Linked DNA regions of Bombyx mori. The protein of the gene in region 2 purifies or fractionates together with the protein of the main gene of each other region. This does not show direct contact. Links are inferred from orthologs where the notes say so. Each region holds a gene or a part of one and is shown on either strand. Other genes may lie near its edges. The genes, in order: protein-L-histidine N-pros-methyltransferase and proton-coupled zinc antiporter SLC30A2.

The links.
Region 1: the proteins of proton-coupled zinc antiporter SLC30A2 (region 2) and protein-L-histidine N-pros-methyltransferase purify together in Homo sapiens (co-immunoprecipitation; 3 studies listed by BioGRID and IntAct, with this or other methods). This does not show direct contact. The link is inferred for Bombyx mori from reciprocal best matches to the Homo sapiens genes SLC30A2 and METTL9.

The regions. Positions count from the first base shown.
Region 1 is NC_085117.1:14,585,363-14,589,708, forward strand, and holds the start of protein-L-histidine N-pros-methyltransferase, read left to right. Parts: upstream 1-1,368; 5' UTR 1,369-1,621; coding exon 1,622-1,924; intron 1,925-4,346. UniProt on the Homo sapiens protein: Protein-histidine N-methyltransferase that specifically catalyzes 1-methylhistidine (pros-methylhistidine) methylation of target proteins.
Region 2 is NC_085111.1:18,805,787-18,810,410, forward strand, and holds the start of proton-coupled zinc antiporter SLC30A2, read left to right. Parts: upstream 1-1,636; 5' UTR 1,637-1,777; coding exon 1,778-2,040; intron 2,041-4,624.

The DNA.
Region 1 (4,346 bases), on a different chromosome or scaffold from region 2:
CCCTTAAACACAACCCACAAAATTTCTCGCCGGATTTTTTCAGTGGTTCGCGATTCTGATCCGGTAGTAGATTCAGCGAAGCACTGCTCTTGTTAGCAATTCTTTCAGGTTGAGCCCGTAAGCTCACCTACCGGTCAGCGTGAAGTTAGATCAGCCCCTTAGGCTACCACCGATTAATTGAGGAAAAAAGAAACCAGTAGGTACTCATGATTTTGTTATTGGAACTATATCATTATACCTACTATTCGAAAATACAGTTCACCTAATTTCGAAATGCTTTTGTTTTTATAATAACCGTTTCGCTGAATTCGACTTTACCGTAAAGTTAGTTTTAGATCTTTTTTTGTAACGGTTAAAAAGTGTTTGTCAAGAGTAGCGGTGACGGACATAGCCAGTGAACGGACGGTCACGGGCAAGGCCAAACCAAGATTATATATTCTTAAGAATTTAAATCAAATAGATCATTAAAAAACGACCTTTCTCTATTCAGTGTTGTGTATTTAAACGCGTCGACTGCAAAACGTGATTCTCACTATATTACGTGTCATTAAGTGATTCAGCACGAAGTAACGGTGTACCATCATAATGAATTTAGTGCTGCGAGAGATAGTGGCAAAAGCTTCGATTGAAGCTAAACAAGAATCGGTTAGTATTATGTTTTTATGCTTACCCATCAATAATAATTATTGATAAGGAAAGTTTAAGGGACTATTTATGGAAGATTGAATAAATAAATAGCTTGTATGTACTTAGTTACACACCATAGTTGGTATTAGTGCTGTATTAGCAATGGTACTTACTACTAATGATAACTTAAAATCATATAAGTTTCACGATTTGCATAAAATAGTAAACCACAAGGGTCACTTTTATAAAGAGTGCGCAAGTGTAGGCTTAAAGTGACACAAATACCTAACACAGGTATTATATTTTCGGATTTTTTTTAAGACATACCTAATGTGGTAAATATGTGTTAATTTAAAAAGTTACTTAAAAAAGGCTTACGCCACACATCAATCATCAGTTAATCATACAGTCCTTGTTAGTCCTTGTCCAGTTACTATGCCATGGGATATCTACCCACTTCGAATAAAATTAAGTTGGCCATGATAAAGTAACAATGTGATTTACGACCATGAGATTTTCTTTTAAACATATGTAATTTATAACTTTGATGATATAAAGCAAAATTATGCGTTATAGTAAATATAATGAATGCTTTTCATACCATACATTCAAAATTGTAATGCAAAAAATATAAATGAAAAACGAATGAAACAATTTCATTGATTTCAAAATGTTAAATGTAGTCCAATTTTAATGACAATTTAAAGCTTTTCAAGATTTTTTTAGAACATTTATGGCAACACAAAAACGATTCTGACGTTTGTGTGACGTTTGTGCGAAAACCAAAACAAAGACATAAATTTCGTTTTTTTAGTGAATTGATTGTTAATAGAATTTTGCTGATATTAACTATTGCATATACTACACACAGTATTGTAATTAACTACTGAAGATGTATGGATAACACTTTTTTGTAAGAAACCGCTAAAGTGAGGTTAACTAAGAAGAAAATAAATTGTTGATCGTTCTGAGAAAATTCAACATAGTAAACTAAATGAACCATACTCTTCTATTACTATGTAGTTTCATGCTGCAGTGTTGTGCGTTATCAGAGAAGCATTTAAATGTATGCTTAAGAATTGACTTATTTTTTTATGCAAAGGACTGCCAAGCATTCATCTTAAGAAGTAGCCAATCTGAACACACAGGCTATAAGAGGTTTCTATTAGAAGAATTAATAGTAGAAGATAAAATGTCAAGTGAAAGTAGTTTTTATCGACCAAGGAGTGCACTAGCCCGAGCACTGTGTGAGAAACAAAACAATGATAGATATCTCCAGGAACTCGATCAGAATGAGGTAAGATGAATAATATTCACGTGAAAAGTAATAAAACATTAATATAAATAAGTTTCTTGACAGCAATTAAATTATCAATATTCTTCTTCTTCTATTTAGATAAAAATGAATTGCTGTTCATTTAGTCATGCTAAAACTCTAGAACGGCTGGACCGATTTGACTAATTTTGGTCTTGAATTATTTGTGAAAGTCCAGAGAAGGTTTAAAAGGTAGATAAATATGAAAATGCTTAGAATTAAATAAAAATAACAATTTTGTTTTGCATTTGATGTGTCCTCCCTTGGACGGATTCCTTTTGTTTGTGTTAAGTTTATTTTATACAAAAGTTTAGGTCCTTTAGTTATCAATTGAGGCACTACGAAGTCTGCCGGGTCAGGTAATAAAATATAAAATTTCCAAAGGAAAACTTTTATTCAAAACAATGAAATTTTCTACTAATGGAATTCATGTAAAACTAAAATAATGATACTAGGTCTAGAATTATACTTCATGTGTGCATATGTAATACCAAATGAAAATGTTTTAGATACAACTGCACTATGAACAACCCTGTAAAAGTACTATGTTGAAATTTTTTTTATTGCCTTTGTAGGCAAACGTCTATGTGGCCCGCCTAATGGTAAGTGGTTACTGTCGGTTATGGACGTCAGCAATGCCAGGGGCAGGGCCAAGCCACTGCCTACCATTGAGTATTCTCTGCAAGCCGTGTTTGAAGAAGGACATATCATATCACACATTTATCACAATTTAAGTTTTTAAGTTACATTGAAGTACCATATTTTAAAATTTATTTACTATCATTCTAAAACTGCTTTAAAAATTCAAAATTTCAAAATTATAAGCAATATTTTTTCCGGTCAGTTGGTAAATGATTAGTATCTTTAAGAATTTTTATACTTATATGTTCCAATAGTTGCTAGGGCACCTAACTACTTTACAATAACATATATATGTAAAATAAGCAAAAATAAAACATCTAAATACTATTTTCCCTACCCTCCGTTTGCAAGTGTTTCTCTTTTTTTTAATAGCAGATTTTTACTGCTATCAATGATGTTGTTTTTAGGGAATAAGTAGCCTTTTTTTCATCAATGCATCTTCTTTCTGAAACGCATAAATAATAATAAGTCTTTAAATAATAATAAGTAATTGAATAAACATTTAAATAGTTAAATAGTACATTATCTTCCTCTCTATTTCTGCTCAAAATCAGTATTTGCCATTTGTATCTGGATATACTTGTCCACTTGTATGTTTGAAGACTTAAAAAAATTTAATTGCTTATTCATTTAATCCTTAGTCCTTATTTTTATTTCATTATTTTTATAGCCTTTATTTATTTAGTCCTTGTCTTAAATGGAATAAGTACATGTAAGCTTATAACTTAATTTAGCTTAAAAGATCATGACCGATTTGCCTGCCTTGTTTTGAATAACAAACCTAAAATGGCTAAAGCAGAATAGGAATTACTGGTAATATTGAATTAAAAAGCAAAGTGAGACTGTGCAATCACATGCCTGAAATTTAGATCCTTAGGATCTTAAGTGAAGTTCCTATTACAACGGCTATTACACCTCTTGAATAAACTCAATTGGTCAGTTTTTTCCAAGCTCTGTAAAATTCTCTACGTCAACAAAGAGCTGTTTGCCTTAGCCTTACTATTCCTAATATCCATAAGCCACAACAATTTCTCACCATCAAATTGGCCCTATGCTTGTCTGCATTAGGAGGCAGTAATACAAAGATTAATTGACTTTCTTTAACTATCTCTTTTTACAAGAGGTCTCAGCCACCTGGCTGTTTCCCTAATCCTGCTGATCTTCATGAGCTACAGTGACTACTCACCATGAGCTTGGCTGTCTGCCTTTTTTTAGGAAGTTCCATTAAGTTGTTACCTGAACCCCATTGATTGACATCATTGTGATTATGCCACTCTGAGGACAAATTCTCAATTGGAAGGCATCCTCTTGCCACAAATAGCCACGACGGTGCATTAGGACTCATGGGAAGATTTTATGCCTTTAATCTATGTCTTTGATCTCTGCCCTTGAGACATTACCAAACAAACGGGCCGATGATGCGCTTGTTTTTTTTCACCTGGTGAACAGCACCTGGAGTTATGTGGTTACCGTAGTCCATAGACATCTTCAAAGTAAATGCCGCCAACTACCTTGAGATATAGGTTCTAAGGGCTCAGTACGGTTACAACGGCTGCCCCACCCTTCAAGCCGAAACGCATTACTGCTTCACGGAGAAATAGGCATTGTATTTGCAATGACCTACGTAAATAGGCAGCGTGGTGGTACCTACCCGTGCGGACTCATAAGAGGTCCTACGACCAGTAATTACGTAAATTATAATTTTGCTAGTTTGATTTTTACTACACGATGTTATTCCTTCACCGTGGAAGTCAATCGTCAA
Region 2 (4,624 bases):
CATGATGTACGACCAACCCATACCGTGGGCCCCCAAGGTCAGATACCTAGGCGTCACTCTCGACAGAGGGACGATATTCCGCCCCCACTTAAAGACAGTACGCGACCGTGCCGCCTTCTTACTAGGACGCCTCTACCAGATGATTTGTAGGCGAAGTAAGTTCCTTAGAAATAAGGTGACACTCTACAAAACTTGCATACGCCCCTACATGACCTATGCAAGGGTAGTGTTCGTTCACGCGACCCGCACTAACTTAAAACCACTCCAAGTTATACAATCCCGTGTTTGCAGGATAGCCGTCGGAGCCCCGTGGTTCGTCAGGAACATCGACCTCCATGATGACCTGAACTTAAGAGTCCATCAGTAAGTATCTACAGTTGGCATCAATGGGCCACTTCAATAAAGCGGCACGACACGAGAACCCTCTCATTGTGGCCGCCGGTAACTACATTCCCGATCCTGCGGACAGAATGGAAAGCAGTCGACGTCGCCCAAAACACGTAATTTCGGATCTTTCCGATCCACTAACGGTGCTTTTAGGTACCTCAAGCACCGGTCATGGTTCTTGTCAAACCCGTCGCTTGCGACGAAGGGGTCGACGAGTACATTAACCCACAGGCACAGCCCACTGAGTTTCCATTTATATTCTACAGGTAAACTAATCTACAGCTAAAGTCTTCTGCTAAGTTTTAATTTCACTTAGGAACTCCTTAAAGTTTCTCGGAACGGAAGTGCTCTTCCATTTCCAAAGATTCGAGTTTTAGCGCAGTCCACCCGTGCAATATAGACCGTTCTCATAGTAATTTCCATAGATGGTTCTGATTCAATCATTCATCTTTTAAATCACTTTTTGGCCATTCCACCAAATTGTTCATGACCCTTGGTACCAAGCAAGTCAACATATCAATTGACCCAAACTATAGATTGATGATGTTGCGCCTGCCTAGCTCATTTAACGAACTAAGTTTAGGTACTCTAGCCTCAAACCGGATTTAGTACCTTGAGATCGCCTTGGCTATCGCAGATAATTTAGGTAGTTCTATCTATGTTCCCCTCATATTTTTAGCCACAAAAGTGTAAATTATACGTATGTCTTCGTATGGAAGAAATGGCATCTACGAATGCAAGATTGAGTCCAGGGTTCTTTATAGAATAAAAGTTATTCAAAGCTTATTACTTTATTTGGATCTTTAATGCTATTTCCTTCTATTTAGTTAACATTTTAGAAATGTAGGGTAAAAACGGTTGATATTCTTCATTTACCTATTAAAAATGCAAAGAGTTTCTTACGATAAACAATGAGTGATCATGGATGTTGTGATAATTTTTTTTCTCAATATAATTTATAGGAAAGAAAATCCTCAAAGTGTTTCCGTATCATCACAATAATACGGTTTTGACTTAATGACTAACCACAGACGTCTTCCCTTGATTCTTTACAATTTACGGGAACTTTTTATCACTTTATAAATTGTTTGATAATCAATGAATTTTAGAACAACAATAGAGTTTTAGCCTTCATTTGTGTTCCGATTCCGAAGTTGAAAAAACCACCTTTTTTCGGGCATCGGACATTAGCATTCGGCAAGATTCATACCTTATAAAAATACCCGACTAATTTCAAGACATCTGAAATTGTTAAAGTTAATGCGGAGAACGCGACCTCGCTCACTTTGTCGATTACCATTGTTTTGTTGACAGCTTAATATGTGGTTTGGTTAGTCGTTTTAAACGTCAGTCGATTCGCGCACCTGAGATTGACAGAACAACGCGCGCAATGTCATCACATTTAATTAACGAAAAATATCATAATGATACAAAAATAAATACATTGAACGCGTTCACTGATAAGAATTTAGTACCATTGAGTGGTAGATATAGATCGAAAAGTTTGTCTAGTGATAAGTTGAATAAAACAAACGCTGATCGTGCGGCTATATTGGAAGATGTCGAGGTCCAGTACATAACAGACAAGTCTGAGACACCTGGCTGTCTCGTCGGAAATAGAGATATGGTCAGCGGACAACTGAATATAAACGGGTGAGTGAATTTTGTTTACAACGCCCACACATAACTAATGACCTTTTGACAGATTCGGAAGGGTTCAAGTTAATAAAATTATGACAAAACTTAAAATAATACATACTTCAAATAATAACAAAAATAGTATATCGTTGATTAAAGTTTAGTAAAAACTTTGGCGTTTAAAAATTAAAGTTCATTCCATAATGTTGAAACTATGAACTCAAATCACATTTATAAGAAATAGCTTTAAAAGTACCAGTTAATTAGTAAATAGTCAAAAGCCAATTTTAAATTTGAATTTAAAATGAAGTTATAAAAGTAGTTAAAGTTAACTAAATTTAAGTTTAAGTTTCTAAATTAAAGGAGTACTTGGATGGATGGATGGATGGATTAGTGTACTTGAAATATACTTAGAAAGTGCTCACATACAGAATGCTATAGTTTTAAGTTAATTTTATGTCAATTTCAAATATTGACATTTTAATATATTAATTTTTTTTATACTGGGTTTATTTATAGATAAAAATTAAAATTAATATTATATTTTATATAATTTAATTATAGATAAAAAAAAAAAAATTATGTGTGATTAAGTGATTATAGTGACATTGTAGATGTCTATGGGCTCCGGTAACTGCTTAACACCAGGTTGGTCGTGAGCTCGTCCACCCACCTAAGCAATAAAAACAAAAAAACACTATGCCTTGGTACATACCTTATTTGGTACATTCTAACAACAAAAAGTCCTTAAACTTTTAAGCTGCTAATTACACTGTTTTAACTCTTAAAAGTTCAAATTGAGACTTTTAAAATGGATAAGGATAATTTCTGTGTTACAATTTGCTTATATTTGGAAAAGGAATCGTAGAGTTTATTGCTGATTCCTGTCACCAGTGAAATAGGAATCTGAATCTGCAGTAGCTATGTCAGCTTAGATCTACTTGAACAGTAAAACCTTTTTGAGTGATTTGTTTATGAAAACAAAGATGGGAACAGACCCACTTCTGGATTAAAAATGGACCATAATATTGCACTACTTTCAAGGTATAATCAATTCAATTCAATTATTTCAATTTCAATATGAAACACCTAAAAAGATAAGCCTTTTTGCTTAGTCAAGGAAATTATTAAATTTGTAAAGTGTACAATTAATAACTCGTAATGGGAAATTTTACCCTACTATCTGCTTAGACTATGCTGGGGATGAATAATTGTCGCAGTGTATATTAAAATTAATTACAAAGATTTCAAATTGCAATGGTTACTGTAGAAACTTGACTGCACAATGCATTATTAATCTTTCACTTGAAATGTTTATCGATGCCTTAAACAGAGCTCTTGAGTGCATTTATATCAATGTTATGTTATGATAAGAAATAATGTACAATGCAAGATAAATAAACTGAAGATCTAAATTATTATATTACATTGAAGGCCGAAAAACAGGGGTCTTTGACATTATCACATTATTTTTCTAGGCTAATCAACAAGTAATCTTTATCAATAGCTGTCATCACTATATCAACGAGATCCCTCTTAGAAATGTTGCTCCAAGCACTCATGAATCTCACAAGTCAGACATGTCATCGTAATTTAACTTTTATTTTCAATAATGTTAGCAGAAAGCCATAATTTAGGCATTACACAATGTATAGGTACATAAACCCTGAGTTTCTACCTGATTTTTTCAGTAGCAAGACTGTAATCCATACTAGTGGTAGTCTTGACTGTGATATAAAATATATCTTTGTATAAAAACTTTGTCATTTATACTATTGTTCAAAAAAAACGCTCATGAGTAATCCACAAAACAAACTCGATAGGCCCCTATTTAGTGTCCTTAAATTATTCATTTTGTATTCTTATTTAACAATATCACATCACAAAACATGAAATGCAAATAAACTATAATTGGTAAGAGTTTGAAGCAAACATCTTATTTCTATGTTATGTATAATTAATTATTAGGTTTATAATAGTGCCTTGGTACATTTGAGGATATTGCAACCCAAAAGATGTAAATATAGGATCCTGTTATCAACAGGCATACACGGGTGTCGCCTTTGGAGCGGGCCTATTTGGGTATACTTTTAGCTGGCACGCACATGCGAGCAATGTTGACGTGCATACACGTGGATCATATATACCTAGTCAGGTCATAAATTCTGTCACATGTTTAATATAAAATAATTGAAACAAGTTTATTCATTATGTAACCATTCATATACCAAAATGAACTTAACAAAACATAGATTCTTATGACACTAAAGTTTATTCAAAATGACCTCCGTGATTTTGAATACAGGCCTTCATTCTGCGCGGCCAGTCATCTATCGCAGCACGAACGAGGTCCATGTCAATATCGACGGCTGCCTTAATCAAGGATGTCTTGAGTGACTCCAAATTGGGATGAGGCTTTGAGCACGCCTTTTCGTCCAAGTATTGCCATATCTTGTAATCTAACGGATTCAAACCTGGACTGGAGGAGGGCCAGTCTTCGTGCCGGATGAAGTCGATTTCACGCGCCGCCAGCCAGTCTCGTGTGCTCTTCGCTCTATGAGCTGGCGCCGAATCTTGTTGGAATACCCAGTGCCTGTTA